2 linked regions of the Oryzias latipes genome follow. The protein of the gene in region 2 purifies or fractionates together with the protein of the main gene of each other region. This does not show direct contact. Links are inferred from orthologs where the notes say so. Each region holds a gene or a part of one and is shown on either strand. Other genes may lie near its edges. The genes, in order: gart and inositol polyphosphate 5-phosphatase K.

What was found.
Region 1: the proteins of inositol polyphosphate 5-phosphatase K (region 2) and gart purify together in Homo sapiens (co-immunoprecipitation; 3 studies listed by BioGRID and IntAct, counting the BioPlex papers as one, with this or other methods). This does not show direct contact. The link is inferred for Oryzias latipes from reciprocal best matches to the Homo sapiens genes INPP5K and GART.

What each region holds. Positions count from the first base shown.
Region 1 is NC_019860.2:23,313,909-23,317,719, forward strand, and holds the end of gart (trifunctional purine biosynthetic protein adenosine-3), read right to left. Parts: intron 3,565-3,811; coding exon 3,396-3,564; intron 3,329-3,395; coding exon 3,097-3,328; intron 3,033-3,096; coding exon 2,938-3,032; intron 2,871-2,937; coding exon 2,761-2,870; intron 2,700-2,760; coding exon 2,501-2,699; intron 2,432-2,500; coding exon 2,180-2,431; intron 2,117-2,179; exon of another isoform or gene 2,031-2,116; coding exon 1,878-2,030; exon of another isoform or gene 1,807-1,877; coding exon 1,399-1,806; exon of another isoform or gene 1,326-1,398; coding exon 1,195-1,325; exon of another isoform or gene 1,129-1,194; coding exon 987-1,128; intron 941-986; exon of another isoform or gene 924-940; coding exon 808-923; intron 746-807; exon of another isoform or gene 732-745; coding exon 546-731; 3' UTR 454-545; downstream 1-453. UniProt on the Homo sapiens protein: Trifunctional enzyme that catalyzes three distinct reactions as part of the 'de novo' inosine monophosphate biosynthetic pathway.
Region 2 is NC_019871.2:19,602,412-19,606,222, reverse strand, and holds part of inositol polyphosphate 5-phosphatase K, read left to right. Parts: intron 1-546; coding exon 547-656; intron 657-935; coding exon 936-962; intron 963-1,385; coding exon 1,386-1,617; intron 1,618-2,653; coding exon 2,654-2,791; intron 2,792-2,863; coding exon 2,864-2,947; intron 2,948-3,014; coding exon 3,015-3,119; intron 3,120-3,197; coding exon 3,198-3,287; 3' UTR 3,288-3,811. UniProt on the Homo sapiens protein: Inositol 5-phosphatase which acts on inositol 1,4,5-trisphosphate, inositol 1,3,4,5-tetrakisphosphate, phosphatidylinositol 4,5-bisphosphate and phosphatidylinositol 3,4,5-trisphosphate.

The sequences.
Region 1 (3,811 bases), on a different chromosome or scaffold from region 2:
CAGAGAAAAGCAGCTTTGATGGAACGTAAAGTGTCAGAAGCTGCTGCATCCACTGGGTCATTGAATAAAACGGTTCAAGACTTACAGAATGTGAACACTGGAACTGAAGTTATTCAGTATAAAGTGATGCATCTTTGTCATTTTCCTACAGTTTTTAGACACTTTCAGGTCATGTTGTCTTTCTTTGAACCACAACTAACCTTCTGCTCCGGTTCTCAGGTATAAAGACGGCGTCTCTGCGGTCGGTGAGTTTCTTAAAGCTGGCGCTCCATCACACCTGTCTATTATCAGCGTAAACAGGTGATTATGCTGATTAAAGGCTGGTGTGATGGAGCCACCAGGGTTGGAAAATCCAGATGTGGCTCAAGGTAAACATCTGACCTGGAAGGTCCTTAAGGTGAGATTTGTCTTCCAGGACTGTAGCTTCGTACAGAATCCACACAAACATCTCCATCATCCTCAGCAGGATCTTTATTGGGAATGTTACAGTCAAGTCTATCAGGTAAACTACACGGTTCACATTAAAGGACCGTCCGTCCAGGTCTTCAGCTTTTCCAGAGGATTTGTCCATCTCCTCCTAACTTCACAGAACCACTGGACACCAGCTCCATGGCAGCAGGAAAGGCTCTATGCTCCGCCTCCCTGATCCTCTCTGACAGCGTCTCCTCTGTGTCTCCAGGAAGGACAGGGACCGCCTCCTGGACGACGATGGCGCCGGCGTCCACCTCCTCCTGCAGGACACACGGTCAGTCTTTGTCCTCATCACAGGTTTACTTAGAGTTCAGTGATAAATAAATATGTACTTACAGCCACAAAGTGCACCGTGCATCCCGCCACGCGGACGCCAGCCTCCAGCGCCTGTTTCTGAGCGTTCACTCCTTTGAAGGACGGCAGCAGCGACGGGTGGATGTTCAGGAGTTTACCTGCAGCAGAAGCAGAAGTAAGTAGACTGTGACAGCTCCATCCAAGACGTCAGTGATCATCACCTGTCCACTTCTTCACAAAGGTTCCAGTGAGGATCCTCATGAATCCGGCCAGACACACCAACTCCACGCCAAACTCCTCCAGGACGCGGTCGATGGTCCCGTCAAACTCTGCACGGCTGCCAAACAGTTTGTGGTCGACCACCTGGAGGACAACAACCAGTGACATCACAACATTCACATGTTAAATATACTTTATACATGAACGTACCCGTGTCTGGATGCCAGCAAGCCCCGCCCTCTTCAGTCCCTGGACGCCTGGTCTGTTAGAAATAACGACCACGATCTGCGCCGAGCTGGACGCACGTCTGGTCTGTTCGATGAGCGCCTGAAGGTTGGTTCCTGCGCCGCACAACAACAACCGTCATCTTCTAGAAACCTTCCACCAAGAAAGACGCTTAGTGGCCGGACTCACCTGTGCCGGAAATGAGAACGCCGACTCTGGTCTTCTTCTGTGGCGGGGCGCTGCTGTTGCCGTGGTAACCATCGTTTTGTTCTGCTGGTCCCGCCTTCGTCAGGCTTTGGTTCAGGTTGCGGACCAGCACAGGTTGAGAACCTGCAACCCAGAATCTTTTAGGAAAAGCGAAGCTGTGGGCTGAAGTCACAAAGTTCTCCGTCTCACCTGGCTGCCTGTCAATCAGAGACCCCACGATCCAGGCCGCCTCCCCCTGGAGCTGTCGCAGCACCTGCTGAGCATCCGGGGGCGCCACAACCAGCACCGCCCCCAAGCCACAGTTAAACGTGCGGGCCATCTCCTCCTCGCTCAGGCCCCCCTCTTTGTAAAGCCACGAGAAAACGGCGGGGATGCTCCACCTGGTGGCGTCTGAGGAAGAGGAGGAGGAAGAAGAAGTGAGCTCCTGACTCCAAACCGCGGGAAAACCTCAGCTTCCTCACCTAGATCCGCCGCCAGCTTCTCAGGCAGAACCCGGGGGAGGTTCTCCAGCAGCCCCCCACCAGTGATGTGGGCGTAGGCTTTGACGGCGCCGCTGCGGAGGACGGGGAGGAGGAGGCGGCTGTAGATCTTTGTGGGGGTCAGAAGAACATCTCCTGGAAGCAGAAGACCGTCCACAAGACGACTTTAAATAAAGTTTTTCTGACATGTGTTTGAATAAAAACTTGATTTGAACTTTGAACTGGAAAATACTTCCGTTGTATTTTTTAGCCTGACCTTTGAACCTTAACAAACCAGAACTCACCGACGGTCTGACCCGGTTCTCCAAACGGGGCGGGGCAGCTGTAGCCGAGGTCGGCCCTCTCCAGAACTTTGCGGACCAGACTGAAGCCGTTGCTGTGGACCCCGGAGGACGACACCCCGATCAGCAGGTCTCCCTCTGCGATCTCCTGCAGCCGCGGCAGCAGAGCGCCACGCTCCACGGCGCCCACGCAGAACCCGGCCAGGTCATACTCTCCCTCAGCGTACACGCCCGGCATTTCCGCCGTCTCCCCGCCTAGGACGGAACAGCGTTAGAACCCCAAACCAGAACCTAGAGCGGTGCGATCAACCCGGGCCTTCTCACCCAGCAGAGCGCAGCCGGCCAGCTCGCACGCTTTGGCGATGCCGCCCACTACGGCGGCGGCCGCGTCCACGTCCAGGTGGCCACAGGAGAAGTAGTCCAGGAAGAAGAGCGGCTCGGCGCCCTGAGCCAGGACGTCGTTCACACACATGGCCACCAGGTCCTGACCCAAACTTCCATGCTTCCCACACGCCTGTGCCACCTGAACACACCAAACGGTTAGACCGCCGCCAAAATGCCAGGATGGCGCTCCAGCGACGGACCTTCAGCTTAGTCCCGACTCCGTCCGTCCCAGAAACCAGGATCGGGTCCACAAAGCCGGCGGCCTTCAGGTCAAAGAGCCCGGCGAAGCCTCCGAGTTCTGCGTCACATCCTGAAAAGACACAGGGGTCAGTCGTCCACGCAGACGCGGTCTGAAGTGGCGGCTCCTCCTGCGTTACCGGGGCGCGCCGTGGCTTTGGCCAGAGGCTTGATAGCGTCCACCAGCCGGTTTCCTGCGGAGACGTCCACCCCGCTGTCCCTGTAGGTCAGGCCTCTGTGGGAGAGCAGAGCTGTAGACGGACCGCCTGATGCGCAGACGCCACATGGCGCTCGCTCACCTGCGCCGCTTCAGGAAAGCGATGGCCCGGTGGCCGATGTCGCGCCGGTACACGCCGCCCTGGAAGCCGATGGTCGCCACGCCCTGGCTGGCCGCCTGCAGAGCCGCCTCGAGGGTTGGGCGCACAGCCGTGACAGTCAGGACCCGTCCGCCACTGGAGACCACGCCCCCTTCCTTCAAAGCGGTGCCGGCGTGGAAAACCTGCAGCCCCATGTCCTGAAGCAGAGACAAACCTGCAGGACGGACGCGCCGTGAGGAGCCTGCAGACACCTGAGAGCAGACCCCGGACGCCGGCCTCACCTGAGATCTCCACGCCCTTCCTGTAGGAACCGGGGTATCCAGCGCTGGCCAGGACCACCGTCACCGCAGAGGCGTCCTGCCGCCACACGGGGGCGTTAGAGGCCAGCTTCCCCTTGACGGTGTTCATGATGACCTGATAAAGGTCGCTGTGCAGCAGCGGCAGCAGCACCTGGAAAGGTGAAGGTCAGAGGTCGGCAGGCTGTTGAGTTCAAATGATCAAACGCTAAAGAGATAAATAATTAAACTATTATAGTTTATTCTAGAAGACAATCATTTTTCTGTTCCTTCATTAATGCTTCTACCTAGGAGAAACGGTTCAGTTTTTTCCGTCACTTGTTTCAGCAAATATATTTTTACGTACAGTAATTCAACTTTTTAAAATGTTTTTTTAGCTTTAACATTTTTACCTTAAAAAA
Region 2 (3,811 bases):
ACTAAAGGGCTTCACAATACTAGAAAGACAAAAGAAGTTTAAAATTGGGCAAATTAAGACACATCGGAGAAGAAAAGAAGTTATGTGGCCTTCACAAGAAAAAGACCCCTGCTTTAGCATCCATGTGGTGTTGGACAATTTGTTGTTTTTCATTCTTCCGATCATTCAAACACAACATGAACGCAGCAATTCTCTAAGTTTGCGTTTTACACAAAGTACATCAAGCTATTGGTGCAATTAGCTCTAAAATGAGAACAGAAGGCATTGTTTTGAAATAAAAATTCAATAATGTTCTGTTTTAAAATGTATATAAATTTTAGATCTGAATGTTTCTGTCCAGATTCCATGTTATTTCTTTCTCTTATACAGTGGATTACCAAAACACTCCACGCACCTGCTCCCGGAGAAGGACTCCGGCCCTTCTATTGAATTTTAGAACCCTCTGAGGCCCGCGAGTCAAAAAGTCTGCCCTCCCCTGGTCTAGATGACTCACCTGATACCTGCTCATGCAGAAACTCTGAGTGAATCTAAACTGTGTCCTTACAGTTAAATATGATGAAGAAAAAGGAGGCGCTGCTACAGGAGTTTGAGGAGGGGCCGCTGGACTTCGCGCCCACCTACAAGTTTGACCTGAACTCTGATTCCTACGACAGCAGGTTAGAACTTCAGTGAACGTGATGGTCAGATCTCTGCTGTAACGATGCTTTGCCTTTGAGGGGCCAGCTTGTTCCTGGGGGGTGGGGCAACGTTGATGAGGAACTGGCTGAGGTAGGACGGGCAGCTGAGCTGGGTGGGGTGGGACTCATTCTGCCATGTACAGGTTTCTTGGTCCTCACAAATGTGACTCTAAAAGAGCAAAAGACAGAAATCATCGACCAATGTTGGATCATGTTTTGAGACCTTTGGTTTACTCTTCACCTGCTTCTCCTTCTTAGGTTCTACCAAACATGGTTTGGCTTTAAGTAAGACATTTCTGTGCACATTTATATGTTTGGTTGCTGTGAGCAACCACTAAACATCCCAGTAAGCATAACCCCTGTGTGGTCTTGGATTATAAGGTTTAACACCCCCTAATGCTTTCAGAACTGGATAAAGCTTTATTAACACGCTTGGTTCAAGACCTCATGACTCTGTGGAACACGTCTGACGTTTAAATTCAAAAGCAGGTTTTTGTTCAAGTCCCCTTTTACTGTTTCCTCGCATGTTGTGCTTCTTACCTCCATGTCATGTTGTCCCGTCATGCTTCTGTCCAGTAACACCATGTCAGAGAAGAAAGTTCACTGAACATTCAGCTGAACCTCCTCCACATCAAGAGCTTCTCAAGACTTTAAAAATCAGAATTTTAGCAACTGATTTACTTTTCTTCTGTCAAATAAACTCTGTAGCGGTAAGAAAAGAAAACCGGCCTGGACCGACAGGATTCTGTGGAGGATCCGACCTAAAGCCCCGCCCCCTGACGAGCAAGAAGAAGATGGTTCCAGGCCAGATGTCAAAAGGATCCGACAGCTTGAGGAGGATGAGGAGTTCCCTCTGAAGGTCAGACAGGAGCTGTACTCCAGCAGCATGGAGTTCAGCATCAGCGATCATAAGCCCGTCCTCGGCATCTTCTCTGTGGAGGTGAGACGCTCCGCCGTCCGGACGACGTCAATTTGTTTTGTAAATTATGTTTGAAATCTTTAAACTTTCAGTAACTGGAACCCTAAAGTCTGATTTATTATATTGTTATATTATATGTTGTTATATTAGCTCCACACTCAAATTCCAGCAGTTATATTATCTAAATCTTGCAAAACATTTATGTTTAACAATACTAACACACTTTTAAAATCACCAGTTACTCTTAACCACAGATATCAGATCTGTTGGTAGATTTATCTAAATAAGTGGTCCCCAACCCTGCAGACAGGTATGGGTGCAAAGCACAGTTGGTACCGGGCTACAGACAAAAAAAACACCTCCCACATTTTGTCCATCTTATTTCTAATCTGATTCTGAAGAAAGCTTTTATTTTGGAAAACTACTAGATTCTCTCCACCACAGCCGACTCATACTTGATGCATGTGAAGTCACTCAGTCACGTGTCAAAATCTATTCGCTTCTTTGTTAAAACAGCTGTGCCGACCGTAAAATTGAAAAACCTAAGCTAGCAAAGTTAATAAAAGACGAACGTATTTGGAAAGTTTCTTTTGGCAGAAAAGAGCCAGTGAGGAAACAGAAGAGAAGAGGCTTTGACTTCAAAATAAAAGAGAGCTGCATTTAGCAGACAAAAACCAGGAGTTTTTACGCCAGATCTGGATTTATTGTTCCTACACACCATAATAAAAATGCATATTAATATTCAGCAACCAGTTGCCTAATATTCAGAGGATGCTGCCAATAAAGTGGTTCAAACGGTGGATTCGTGTTTATAGTTATATTTAGAAAATACCAGTTTTAGTGACCATTTATTTTGTATTTATCCATCGCACCTTTAAAGTTTGTGTGGGTTTTTCGAGTCGAGGGAACCTAGAAGTAAAAAAACTGGACGTTCATTTCATCGTCGTACCGGCTGGTCCGTGAAAACGTTGTCTGACATTGAACCGGTCCGAGGCCAGAGAAAGGTTGGGTCCCACTGATCTAAAGTAAAAGGTATTCTGTTTCTACGCCCCTCTAGCTGAAGAAGAAGTTCGATACTCCTCTGGTGCGTTTGCAGACAGAAGGTGACTGGAGCGCAGATATCGACTCCATGATCCTGTACAGCCCCCTGCAACCATTTCCCTCCAGCAGCTGGGACTGGATTGGACTGTATAAGGTGACTTGTCTATCGGCAGCTGCTAAAGACGCCTTTGCAGGAGCAGATTCATGAGGTCTTTATGGGTTCCAGGTTGGGTTCAGCAGCGTCTCAGACTACATCACCTACACGTGGGTCAAAGACAACGAGGTGGCCTTCAACCAGGAAGTGATGCAGGTACCCGTCTGGAGATGGAGTTTGGGTCATTCACGTCTGCTGGAGCTTAATGAGTTTCTTCTTGCAGGTTTACATCAGTAAAGAGGAGATCCCTGTGAGGGGCGGGGACTGCGTGTTGTGTTACTTCAGCAGCATCCTGCAGTGCATTATCGGAGTGAGTGAGCCATTCAAGGTCAGTTAGCTGAAAACATTTATAAAGGTCCGTCCTCAGACAAAGCTGCAGGTCAGCTCTAGTGCTGTTCTTCTCCAGGTCCGGGAGTCCTGGGTGGCCACTGAGGAAGGTCTGCTGCCCGACAGGATCAACACACACGACCAAATCACGATGGACAAGGATCTTTGAGCCTGGACTTGATCACTAATCAGTGACGGGGTTCATGCATCATTTCAAGCTTTCAGTTACTCAGACAACTGAAGTTTCCAGAAATGTTTCATTGGACCTGAAGAAACCTCTTTTTCTCAGGATGGCTCTTCTGACCTTCGTGTTTTCCGTCATTCTGAACATTCACGTTGTCTCGGGTCTCACTTGTGAAAAATCAAGTTACTGTAATGTCTATAATTTATTAATATTGTGTGTTTTTTGTTGTTAGGAACAACTTAGAAGAAGGTTCGTGAAAGAACCTGTCACTCACAAACGTCGCATTCTCCTTCACCCCTAAGATCAGATCATCTTCAGTTAGCCTTTACGTAAAAACAGATTTACAAACATAAAAGGGAACAGCAGAAACTGGCAAAGCTCATCCACCATGTTTGAACTGCATCCATTCAAAGCCTCGTGGCCTTTTGCAGTGGAGGATGCAGATTTTCTGCTATCCCTGCCGGTCCACTGCTGTACATGACCCTTTCAAAGTAAAAGCAGTCTGATGC